Linked DNA regions of Arabidopsis thaliana. The protein of the gene in region 2 purifies or fractionates together with the protein of the main gene of each other region. This does not show direct contact. Each region holds a gene or a part of one and is shown on either strand. Other genes may lie near its edges.

Region 1 (4,692 bases), on a different chromosome or scaffold from region 2:
GTTCAAGGCGATGTCTCCTTGAGTAAGCATCTTCCTGGAGTGATGAACTCTTGCAGATACAGAAATGGGTTTGATGCTTTTAGAAAGATTCTTTACACAGATGGACCAAGAGGGTTCTACAGAGGATTTGGGATCTCGATCTTGACTTACGCACCTTCCAACGCGGTTTGGTGGGCGTCTTATTCTTTGGCTCAAAAATCAATTTGGTCTCGATACAAGCACTCCTACAACCACAAGGAAGATGCTGGTGGCTCAGTGGTGGTTCAAGCGTTGAGTGCAGCTACAGCAAGCGGTTGCTCGGCTTTAGTAACTATGCCAGTAGACACAATCAAGACGCGGTTGCAAGTCTTAGACGCAGAAGAGAACGGGAGGAGACGAGCAATGACAGTGATGCAGTCAGTGAAGAGCTTGATGAAGGAAGGAGGAGTTGGTGCTTGTTACAGAGGATTAGGACCAAGATGGGTCTCAATGTCGATGTCCGCAACAACGATGATCACAACCTACGAGTTCTTGAAGCGCCTAGCAACAAAGAAGCAGAAATGATATATTGATAAAACCTTGTTGTGTTAAGACTAACCAAAATACTTTTGATTGAGTTTGAAGAATGTTAATAAACAAACATAAAACAGAGCAAAAGATCATTACCCCTAAACAAAGAGTTATCCCTTCAATCGCCAAAATGTAACAATGAAAAAACTAAAATGTCTTCCTAAATTACCAAATCCATATGACAAATCTGATCTAAACCAAACAGTTAAGCTGTTCATCATCATATGCAAAGGTAGATACACAGAAGCGAGCGGTCAACAAATTTAGGAACGAGCCCTTTTGTTGCTGCAAGAAGGGCACTTGTATTGCTTGATGTGCTCAGCTCTTGCTGGTGTTATCTTAACACACTTTCCATGAAACCACATCTCACAGAGGTCACAGCAAATCCAGAACTCATCAGCTGCATAGCTCTCACCACATGCTCCACACTGTGTTTCACCTTGCTCATCCTCATCCTCCTCTTCCACACCTTCCTCTTCCTCCTCCTCATCATCTTTCGGCTCCGGCTTTGAGAACTTGGCACGGGATTCAGATCCTCGCTGTAACGTGAGACAAAGAAACCAGAATTAGTACAAGGATTAAACTGTAGAGAAGAAGTACAGTGGAAAACAAAGTCTCTACCTTGGAGCTTGATTTGGATCTGTTGCTGCTGTTGTTGGAAACAGAGGACTTATCTTTTCCTTGTTTCTTAGCAGTGCCAGCTACAACCTCAAAGATTGTTGGGAGGTCATTCACCATATTGAAAAGCCTCTTCCTGTAACAAATGTGAAAGAACATAAATCACAGAGAGCTACATAAACGGTGAAGGAGTAGAACAATGAGTGACTGAGAGGCTTGCATCTATATACCACCAAGGAACATAGATGTAAGAAGATTAGACTTAAAGAGGAGAAGGATATACATACCTATCAGCTTTGTCAAATCCAAACCTGGCTCCAAAAAAGAAAGCAACAGCAAGAAGCCAAGCATCACTGTGGACAGCAACAAGGGACAACCAATCCTTTTCCGCCATCCCGTCTCTGGCAAAATTGATACCCAAGACAGGCTCTGGGAGCTCAGGAGGAACCTCTTCAGCTGGCAAATTCACTTCCCAGTGCTCATTTGGATGTCCGTAAAGGCAAAGGTTCTCCTTTTCTATAATCACAAAAGGAAAATGATGACAATTGTTCAAAAAACCTTAAATTAAAACCAAGTCAAACAAAAAATCAACACTTTGACTCCGCTCAAACTCTACACTGCAATTCAAATAAATCTGACAAAATCACAATTTTATCCACAAAACAGAGACAATAGAATCTATGAACCCTAAATGCTTCACTGAAACAACAACAATCAGATTGAAACAAACCACAACGAAGCAAATTCAAAAAACCAAACTTTCGCCGGCGAGAATCAATCTCGAAGGAACAACAACACTCACAAGGATCACAAACAAATTTTTTCTTTAGTTGAAAACACAATCGAACCAAGTCAAACAAAAATCAATACTTTCGACACTGGAGCGCAATTCAAATAAATCTAAACAAAATCATAAACAGAAAAGAGAGAGAGAGAGAGACTATGAACCCTAAATGCTTCACTGAAACAACAACACTCAGATTAAAACAGAGCAAAACATAGAAAAATTCAAAAAACACAAATAAAAATCAAAACTTTCGTTAATTCAAATCAAATCTCAAAGGAACAACAACACTCACCGGGATCACAAAGTCGGAAAAACTCCTGAACATCTGCACACACAAAAGGGTAATCTCAAAATTCAGTTTTTTTCCGGTGACAAAACTGAGATAGTAATAAGAAGAAAGAAAAAACAAATTGTTACCAGTGGTTAAAGCCTTAATCATGCCAGCTCTACGACCCTTAAAATCCCTAAACACCTCTTCAACAGTGCGTGGATTGTACGCGCCACCTGCTTCCATCTTTCTTACAGAACAAACAGCTTCGAAGGAGACAAGACAAGAGTGAAAGAGAGAGAGAGAGAGAGACAAGTATTTGACCGGCGCTGAGAGAATTTGGGTTTGCGAGAGAAAGAAAGATGTGAAAGAGAAAAAGGGCGGACCCAAAAACAATTAAGCGGATTTAATAAGATGAGGAGGAGTCCGCAAAATGAATCTGATGAGGAGGAGAGCACGATAAGTTTTATCTTTCATCCTCTTAGATCTTGACGCGTATCTCCTGATTTCTGTTGTTGTATCTATGGATATGTTTTTAATTGGATTGGCTTATTTTTCGGGTAATAGATGTTTATCAAGCTTGAAATTAAGAGTTTTGTGTTAATGATACATTAAATTGTAATGGTTGTAAGATTGCAGAAAGTTTTATTAGATACTCTGTTTTTTCGAAACAAATGTTCGGTAATCTGGTATCTGCGAAATAAATTTGACCGTTTTTCTGTTTTTCGCGGTAAATGTTCGGTAATCTGGTAACTCAGAAATAAATTTGACCGTTTTCTATATTTTCATTCGCGCTCTTTTTGAACATGGTAAGGGATACATACTTTATTTTAGATTAGTGAGAGGTTTCGGTAAGTGTTTATCAAATATTCAGTTTTTCGCTTTAAATTTCGGTAATCTGATATTTAAGAAATAAGTTTGACTTTGTTCTACATTTTTTGGTTTCGTTTTGTCTTTCGCGCCAATTTTTGGTATTCTGGTATCTGAGAAATAAGTTTGACTGTTAATTTTATTTCTTCACTCGAGGTCTAGTCTTTTTTTTAAAAGAGTAATAATAGTCTGGTTTTGATTAATGAGAGCTTTTAAATAGTCTTACTAGTTACTAGATACCTTTTTCGCACCAAATTTTTGGTGATCTGGTGTTTGATAAATAAGTTCAATCTCTTCTCTTTTTCAAGGTCTTTTTGATTTTTTAATAAGTACTATGCATTATTAATATTTTGGAAAAAAGTTTATTCAAAATACTTGGTTCTTTCGTGTCAATCATCCAAATATATCGATAACCCATATACAATTTGATAGATCGAACTATACACTAGGAATAAAATTGTAGTTTCATGGATTTCATGAATTTATGAATCATATCTAATTCCAATATAGTAAGATTTTGAAGTAGTGTTATCTATAAAATCATGATTCAGTCCTCAATTTTGATATTTTATGTGGATAGAAAATCTTAACTTGTAGGTAATTTGGTGAGAGTGAGACTGATAAAAGAGAATAAGAACTATGTTTTACTGAACAAAGTACTTAAAGCAATGAATATATTTTTGTTTTCTAAATTGAATTGAAGAGACACGGAGAGAGTAGTAATGTTGATAGATTCAAATGTCAAACACCTCCTCTAGAATCCTTAATCTTTGTATGAGGTACACTTCAAGATCTTCAAGAATTCTTTTGATTTTTTTTCTAAATCAAATGCAACGTTAAATTTGACTCTAGAAAATGGGCTTGAAGTCTCCAAGCTAAACTCATTACATGTCACACAGACACGCAAGATAGTGATCTGATGGCTTTATTTGCCCAAACTGGATACAAAATCCCAATACCATCAATAAGTTCTGTAATAATGCAAGCAAGACGATAAGCGCATTGAACTATATTGCATTCAAAGATTGTGATATGCATCAGATGTCATTGAATATTTCTCAATTTGATCTTTTGATAAAGATCCCATGAAATCATTGACGGTTGCATAAAAATTCTTAATGTTTTCGCTAGTTATTATTACATTCACAATTAACAAAATTCAAAATTTATATAAATCGGCTCATCTTCCACTTTTCCAATTACTCATATGTATATGATTTTTCCACAATTTGAATTAAGGTAACTTCTATTATCGTCTTGATATAATTCTCGCTTATCAAACTTTATATTTGGAAAATAACATATTCAATTGGACGAGAAAGATACATATGTGAAACTTTCACTAATCTTAAAGAAAAAACATTAAAATTTGGGATTGCATAAAGTTAAGTCTCACTAAAATCCAACTTGGCAAAGTTATTGCACAAAGATAAGTCTAACAAAATCCGACAAATGGCAAGATTCTAATTAGTTTTGGTTTGACATATATTATTATTATTATTATTTTCATTTTGACATATGTTATTTAATAAATTAAATCTAACACTTGTGAAGAAATTTTTATTCTAAAAAATCATTAATTTCTTAATATCATATAATT
Region 2 (5,018 bases):
ACAGAAATCACTTGAAGCCCATTACTGTCACACAATTTCTCATCCAAACCCACCTCCTTGGAGTCCTCCAAATTGTGCAATATAGTGGTGCCATTGCATGCCTTATCCAGAATACTCTCGTTCTGGCTACCTACTTTCTTAAAACTACTTAGAGAAACAACTTTCCTGCTCTTCTTGTCCTGCTTCAACTGATCACCATCAATCCCAGACCTATGTTTTCTTTTAAAGCTCTTATTCACTGAATCCTTGGAAATGCTAGACTTATAGAGCGTCTTAAGATCTAAAGACCTGGATTTCTTCGAAATTCCCACTCCATTAGAGTTACCTAGTCTATTTTCCATGAAAGCCACCTCGAACCAATACCCAGAATCAAAAGCCAGCAGGTCTCAAATTCCATCATATACGCAAGCAAACATTTTTCAGATCTGTGACACCAAAACCAAACCCAGAATCACAAAAAGTACCCAAAGTATGATAAAAGAAGAACACACAAGTCACCCAAAGAAACAGATCAAATCCCACTTCAGGAAAAAACTTTGCATTGAAATCCAAGCAATTGTTTTTTCAACAATCAAGCAAAATTTAACTGCAAAAAATTAAAAAAAAAAAGAGAGAAATTTGCATGCCTACCTGCATCACTTTATCAGACGAAATCGAGTCTCTTAAGGACCTTTATAGTCGCCACAATCCCAAAATCAAAATTAGGGTTTCGGTAAATCGGACTGCGAATCGGATCCCTAAATCAAACAATCGAAAATTTCCCAAAAGTATTCGTTCAATTTAGCCGAAAATAAAAAAAGCAAAATTTGCTTCTTTTTTTTTTCTTTTTTAACCGGGAGAAACGGGAGAGCTAGGGTTTCGTCTGGTTCCGCGAGAGTAAGGTTTTTTCAGTTATAAAGAAAACATATTCCAAATAAACATCGTATCACGGGTACCGTCCGATGGAGACGCGTTACTATATCTACGGTCCATATTTAGTTTCGAAATAAGCACTAAATTTTTAACTCTGCAACAGAAAAGATATAATGGACGTTCGAGATTCTCAGCTGCGAAATATTTGTTTGGACGGTCAGGATTTAAAGATTTCTTCAGAGAGAATAATTTATTGTTGTCACGTGTGTTGCTAACCTACCGCAATCTTGTGTTTGTCCACCTAGCCAACAATTGTTAGAGACATCATTCAACTTAACAACTATTATTACTAGAATACTAGGGGATAATTTAAGTATAAAATCATCACATTACAGTATTATCTTTTTAATAATTTATATATATATATATATATTATTGTTATTTTCTTTTAATATATAAACTTCATTCATCCATTAGCTTAACAATTTTCCAATATTTTGTAAAAATATATATATACATATTATTAGGAGTTTTCGGACCATATTTAAGTATTAGTGTATTACTACCTTATTATGTGTTTAAATATATATTTTTATTAAATATAGACATATAGCAAAAAGAATTAGTAGTAGAGAGATTGATTGGAATCAATTTTTGATTAATTATATAGTGTAAACTAAGCTTTAAGAATATTTAAAAAATAGATTTGGTTTCCTTATAAATATGAATTAAGGTCATTATTAACGTATCATAAGATTTAGAGCAATGTATAAACACAAGAAGAAAAACAATAAAAGTTCAGAAATTCCTTTTTCGATTCAAAAATACGTTAAAAATTGACAAAATATTTTGGCGGGTGGATTGTATATTGGAACCCAAAATTTGCTTTTTTAATACAGAAAAATAAAATAAAATTGGCTTAATTGGAAAAACTAATATTGAGTTCATAAACCAAATTAAGGTTTAATTAGACAGTCTAATCCAATGTTCGGTTCAATTTTGTAATCAAATGTTCGGTTCAATTTTGTAATCAAATGTTCGGTTTGATGATCCATAAGAGAGGAGATAACATCCCAAATAGAGACAGATCCCCTTCCCTTGTCGTGTAGCCCAGTAGCTCTAATCGCTACGATTGCTACACACCACATCCCTTAAGAAAACCCTAATCATCTCTCTCTCGCATTCTATAGGAATCGCTTCCCGAAGCTTCCAACATTCTCTTGTTTCTCCTTTGTCTCTCAATTTCAGTTTCCTATATTATACGCTTGTATTAATCACCAGTATACATTTTGTCGTTTCTGGGTCTGGAACCCTAGTAGTTATTATAGCATCCATCGCTTTCTTCAATCGCCGTCCATCAGAGTTTCAAGGGATTTGCTTTAAAGATCAATCCTTTCCTAAGAAAATAGCGACAATTCATCAGCTTTTCCTTTCCCATCCTTCATTACCTTAACTTACTCGAGATTCATCTTCCAGCTGAAATTGTGAAACTTCGTTTCTGGGTTTTTATCAGAAAACACTCTGTGACTTATTGTGTGGTGATCGAGGAAAGAAAAAAGATGGTTGGTGGTGGAAACAGGAGAGATGAGGGATCGATGCCGATTCAGAACACCAACTTGTTTGCTGCTTTGGATACTTCGAGGAAGAAGAAGAAGTCTGATAAGGCTGGTAAGAGCAAAGCTTCCTCTAAGAGAGAAGATTCACAGAAGGAGCCTGAGCCACAGGTTTTCTGGGCACCTACGCCTCTCAAAGCAAAGGCTTGGGCTGATATCGATAGCGATGATGAAGATGATGATTATTACGCTACCACTGCTCCACCTCAGTCCCTGTGGAGCACTTCTGAAGCCTCCCATTCAGATGCTAAAGACGTTCCCGCTGAGGTCACAAGTCCAAATCTTTCATATATATGTTGATTTTGGGTTCATCATCATAGCTTTATGCATTTCACATGTTGAAAATTGTAACACTGGTTTAATATGTCTCTTGCAATAAGCCTCTTTAGATTTCAAATGCTTCCACGAATTGAATGAGTTGGCCTTTTTTTCTACTGTTGTTATCTCGCTTAGGCTTAGGCTTGTGTTGTCTGAATTCTGAAAGGGAAATTAATGTTATTGTGAAGTAAGCTGCTTTGTCTCCTGAAGGTTCATATATCTAATTGCATTGTTATCGAAATTTTTCTAGGCAATGTAAGTTTGTTGTGCAATGGTTTCTCTAAACCGTGGTTGTGTGCCTATCTGTTCATTTGTTTCTCATAGAGATGCATTTGATTTCAATGTCGCAGGAAATTGAAAGCGAAGAAGACACTCTTGATGATGGAGATGATGATGATGTGGAGGAAGATCACGAGCAGGGAACAGAGACACAAGTTCATCCAGAAGCAGAGCCTGAGGTGAAAAAGGCTCCTGAAGTTCGTGCTCCTCCTAAGGAGGCAGAGAGGCAACTTTCCAAGAAAGAGAGGAAAAAGAAGGAACTTGCTGAGCTTGAGGCTTTGCTAGCAGATTTTGGAGTTGCAACCAAAGATGAGAATGGTCAACAAGACTCTCAAGGTATAGCACAATTTCACTTTACTATATTCACTCGTTGGTAACAATTCTACTCTACTCTATTCACTCGTTGGTGATATTTATCTGTGGATACCTTTCTACGCTGAGGTATCACTGGCTGAGAAAACCATGTTATGGCTAATACTGATAGACGTTTCTTCTGCAAATATGAACAGATAAGGGGGAGAAGAAAGAAGTGAATGATGAGGGAGAGAAGAAGGAGAACACAACCGGAGAATCAAAGGCCTCAAAGAAGAAGAAAAAGAAGGACAAACAGAAGGAGCTAAAAGAATCCCAGAGTGAAGTGAAGAGCAACTCGGATGCTGCAAGTGAGTCCGCTGAGCAGGAGGAGTCTTCTTCTTCCATCGACGTCAAAGAACGGCTAAAGAAGATTGCATCAATGAAGAAGAAGAAATCAAGCAAGGAGGTTGATGGTGCTTCAACAGCTGCTGCAAAGGAAGCAGCTGCGAGGAAGGCAAAGTTGGCCGCAGCGAAGAAAAAAGAAAAGAAAAACTACAATCAGCAACCTGTGAGGTGAAGAAATCAATCCACCCACCGTTGTGATATGAACATAGGTTTTGTTCATATGAGACTTACTTGCCTTGAACAAATCTTTTGATGGGGAATGTGGTTGGGTCGTGTTTTAGAGTTATGATAACTTTGGATCTTTTAATCCTATCACAATGGAACATGACAAGAAGAAACTCTGTTTGAATTTTTCCTTTTACATACATTCTTTGCTCATCATGGTTATACTTGGATTTGTTTTATCTCCCACAACAATTTCTACTTCTTGATCTTACATATTATTAGTTGTGGCTAAGCCAGCGCTTAATAAAGTTAATCTATGAGTCTGAATCGACAAAATCAATTGATTATTTTAATTATATGTTTATCAAACGAATTAGATCATATTTTTGACAAACCTAAATAGGTATATTTCTCTTGCGGTTTATTCGACGAAAAAGAAAAGTTGGTACAGTATTTATTTTACTCTCTTAAGACAATTCGTCGTGTTGCTTGCTACTCTCGACGACGGAGAAGTAGAAATGTGGAGAAGAGTGATCGGAAATGTCGCCGTCCGGCATCAATTACAGCGAGCGCTATCTAGTAAAGCCGGTGGAAGTGGAAAGAGCGCCAACGTTTCAGCTGCAGTGGATTCGATGCTTCTGCGTTCCCTCAAGGAACATTACTTAGAGGTTTCTAAGATGACTCCTCCTCCGGTTCGTTCCTCCTCTTCTCTCTCTCTTTCTGTGTTTTCTCTCTATGTCTCGTCTTAGGTACAACTGAAATTTCAGTACTGTTACTTAAACCCTAGCTTAGCTGCTGCTTCCTCCACTTAGGGTTTATGGTGGGATTTACAGATTTTTGATTGATTTTGCAGAAAGTGAGTCCTCCGTCACCATTTGAGATTGTGAAAGGGTCGCTTGAAGGAAGTACTGGTGCTGTTCTGAAGAAATCTGTTGGAAATGAAGAGATCAATCTTTTCGTTATGCGCTTGGCTCACGGAGGTGATGAAGAAGACGATGGTGGGATCAACCAGTTGTTCCTTCATGTTGCTGTATCAAAGCCAAATCAGCCTGATTCTTTGCATTTCCTTTGTGGCCTTTACCCTGATGCATT

The links.
Region 1: the proteins of AT4G32610 (region 2) and AL4 fractionate together in Arabidopsis thaliana (co-fractionation; one large-scale study listed by BioGRID). This does not show direct contact.

What each region holds. Positions count from the first base shown.
Region 1 is NC_003076.8:9,157,754-9,162,445, forward strand, and holds AL4 (alfin-like 4), read right to left. Parts: upstream 2,741-4,692; 5' UTR 2,469-2,740; coding exon 2,372-2,468; intron 2,280-2,371; coding exon 2,247-2,279; intron 1,684-2,246; coding exon 1,455-1,683; intron 1,304-1,454; coding exon 1,171-1,303; intron 1,089-1,170; coding exon 813-1,088; 3' UTR 565-812; downstream 1-564. Other genes in the region: AT5G26200 (Mitochondrial substrate carrier family protein), read left to right, coding at 1-543. UniProt on the Arabidopsis thaliana protein: Histone-binding component that specifically recognizes H3 tails trimethylated on 'Lys-4' (H3K4me3), which mark transcription start sites of virtually all active genes.
Region 2 is NC_003075.7:15,727,291-15,732,308, reverse strand, and holds AT4G32610 (copper ion binding protein), read left to right. Parts: upstream 1-1,875; 5' UTR 1,876-2,411; coding exon 2,412-2,732; intron 2,733-3,133; coding exon 3,134-3,398; intron 3,399-3,571; coding exon 3,572-3,933; 3' UTR 3,934-4,225; downstream 4,226-5,018. Other genes in the region: AT4G32620 (Enhancer of polycomb-like transcription factor protein), read right to left, coding at 1-341; AT4G32605 (Mitochondrial glycoprotein family protein), read left to right, coding at 4,445-4,618, 4,780-5,018.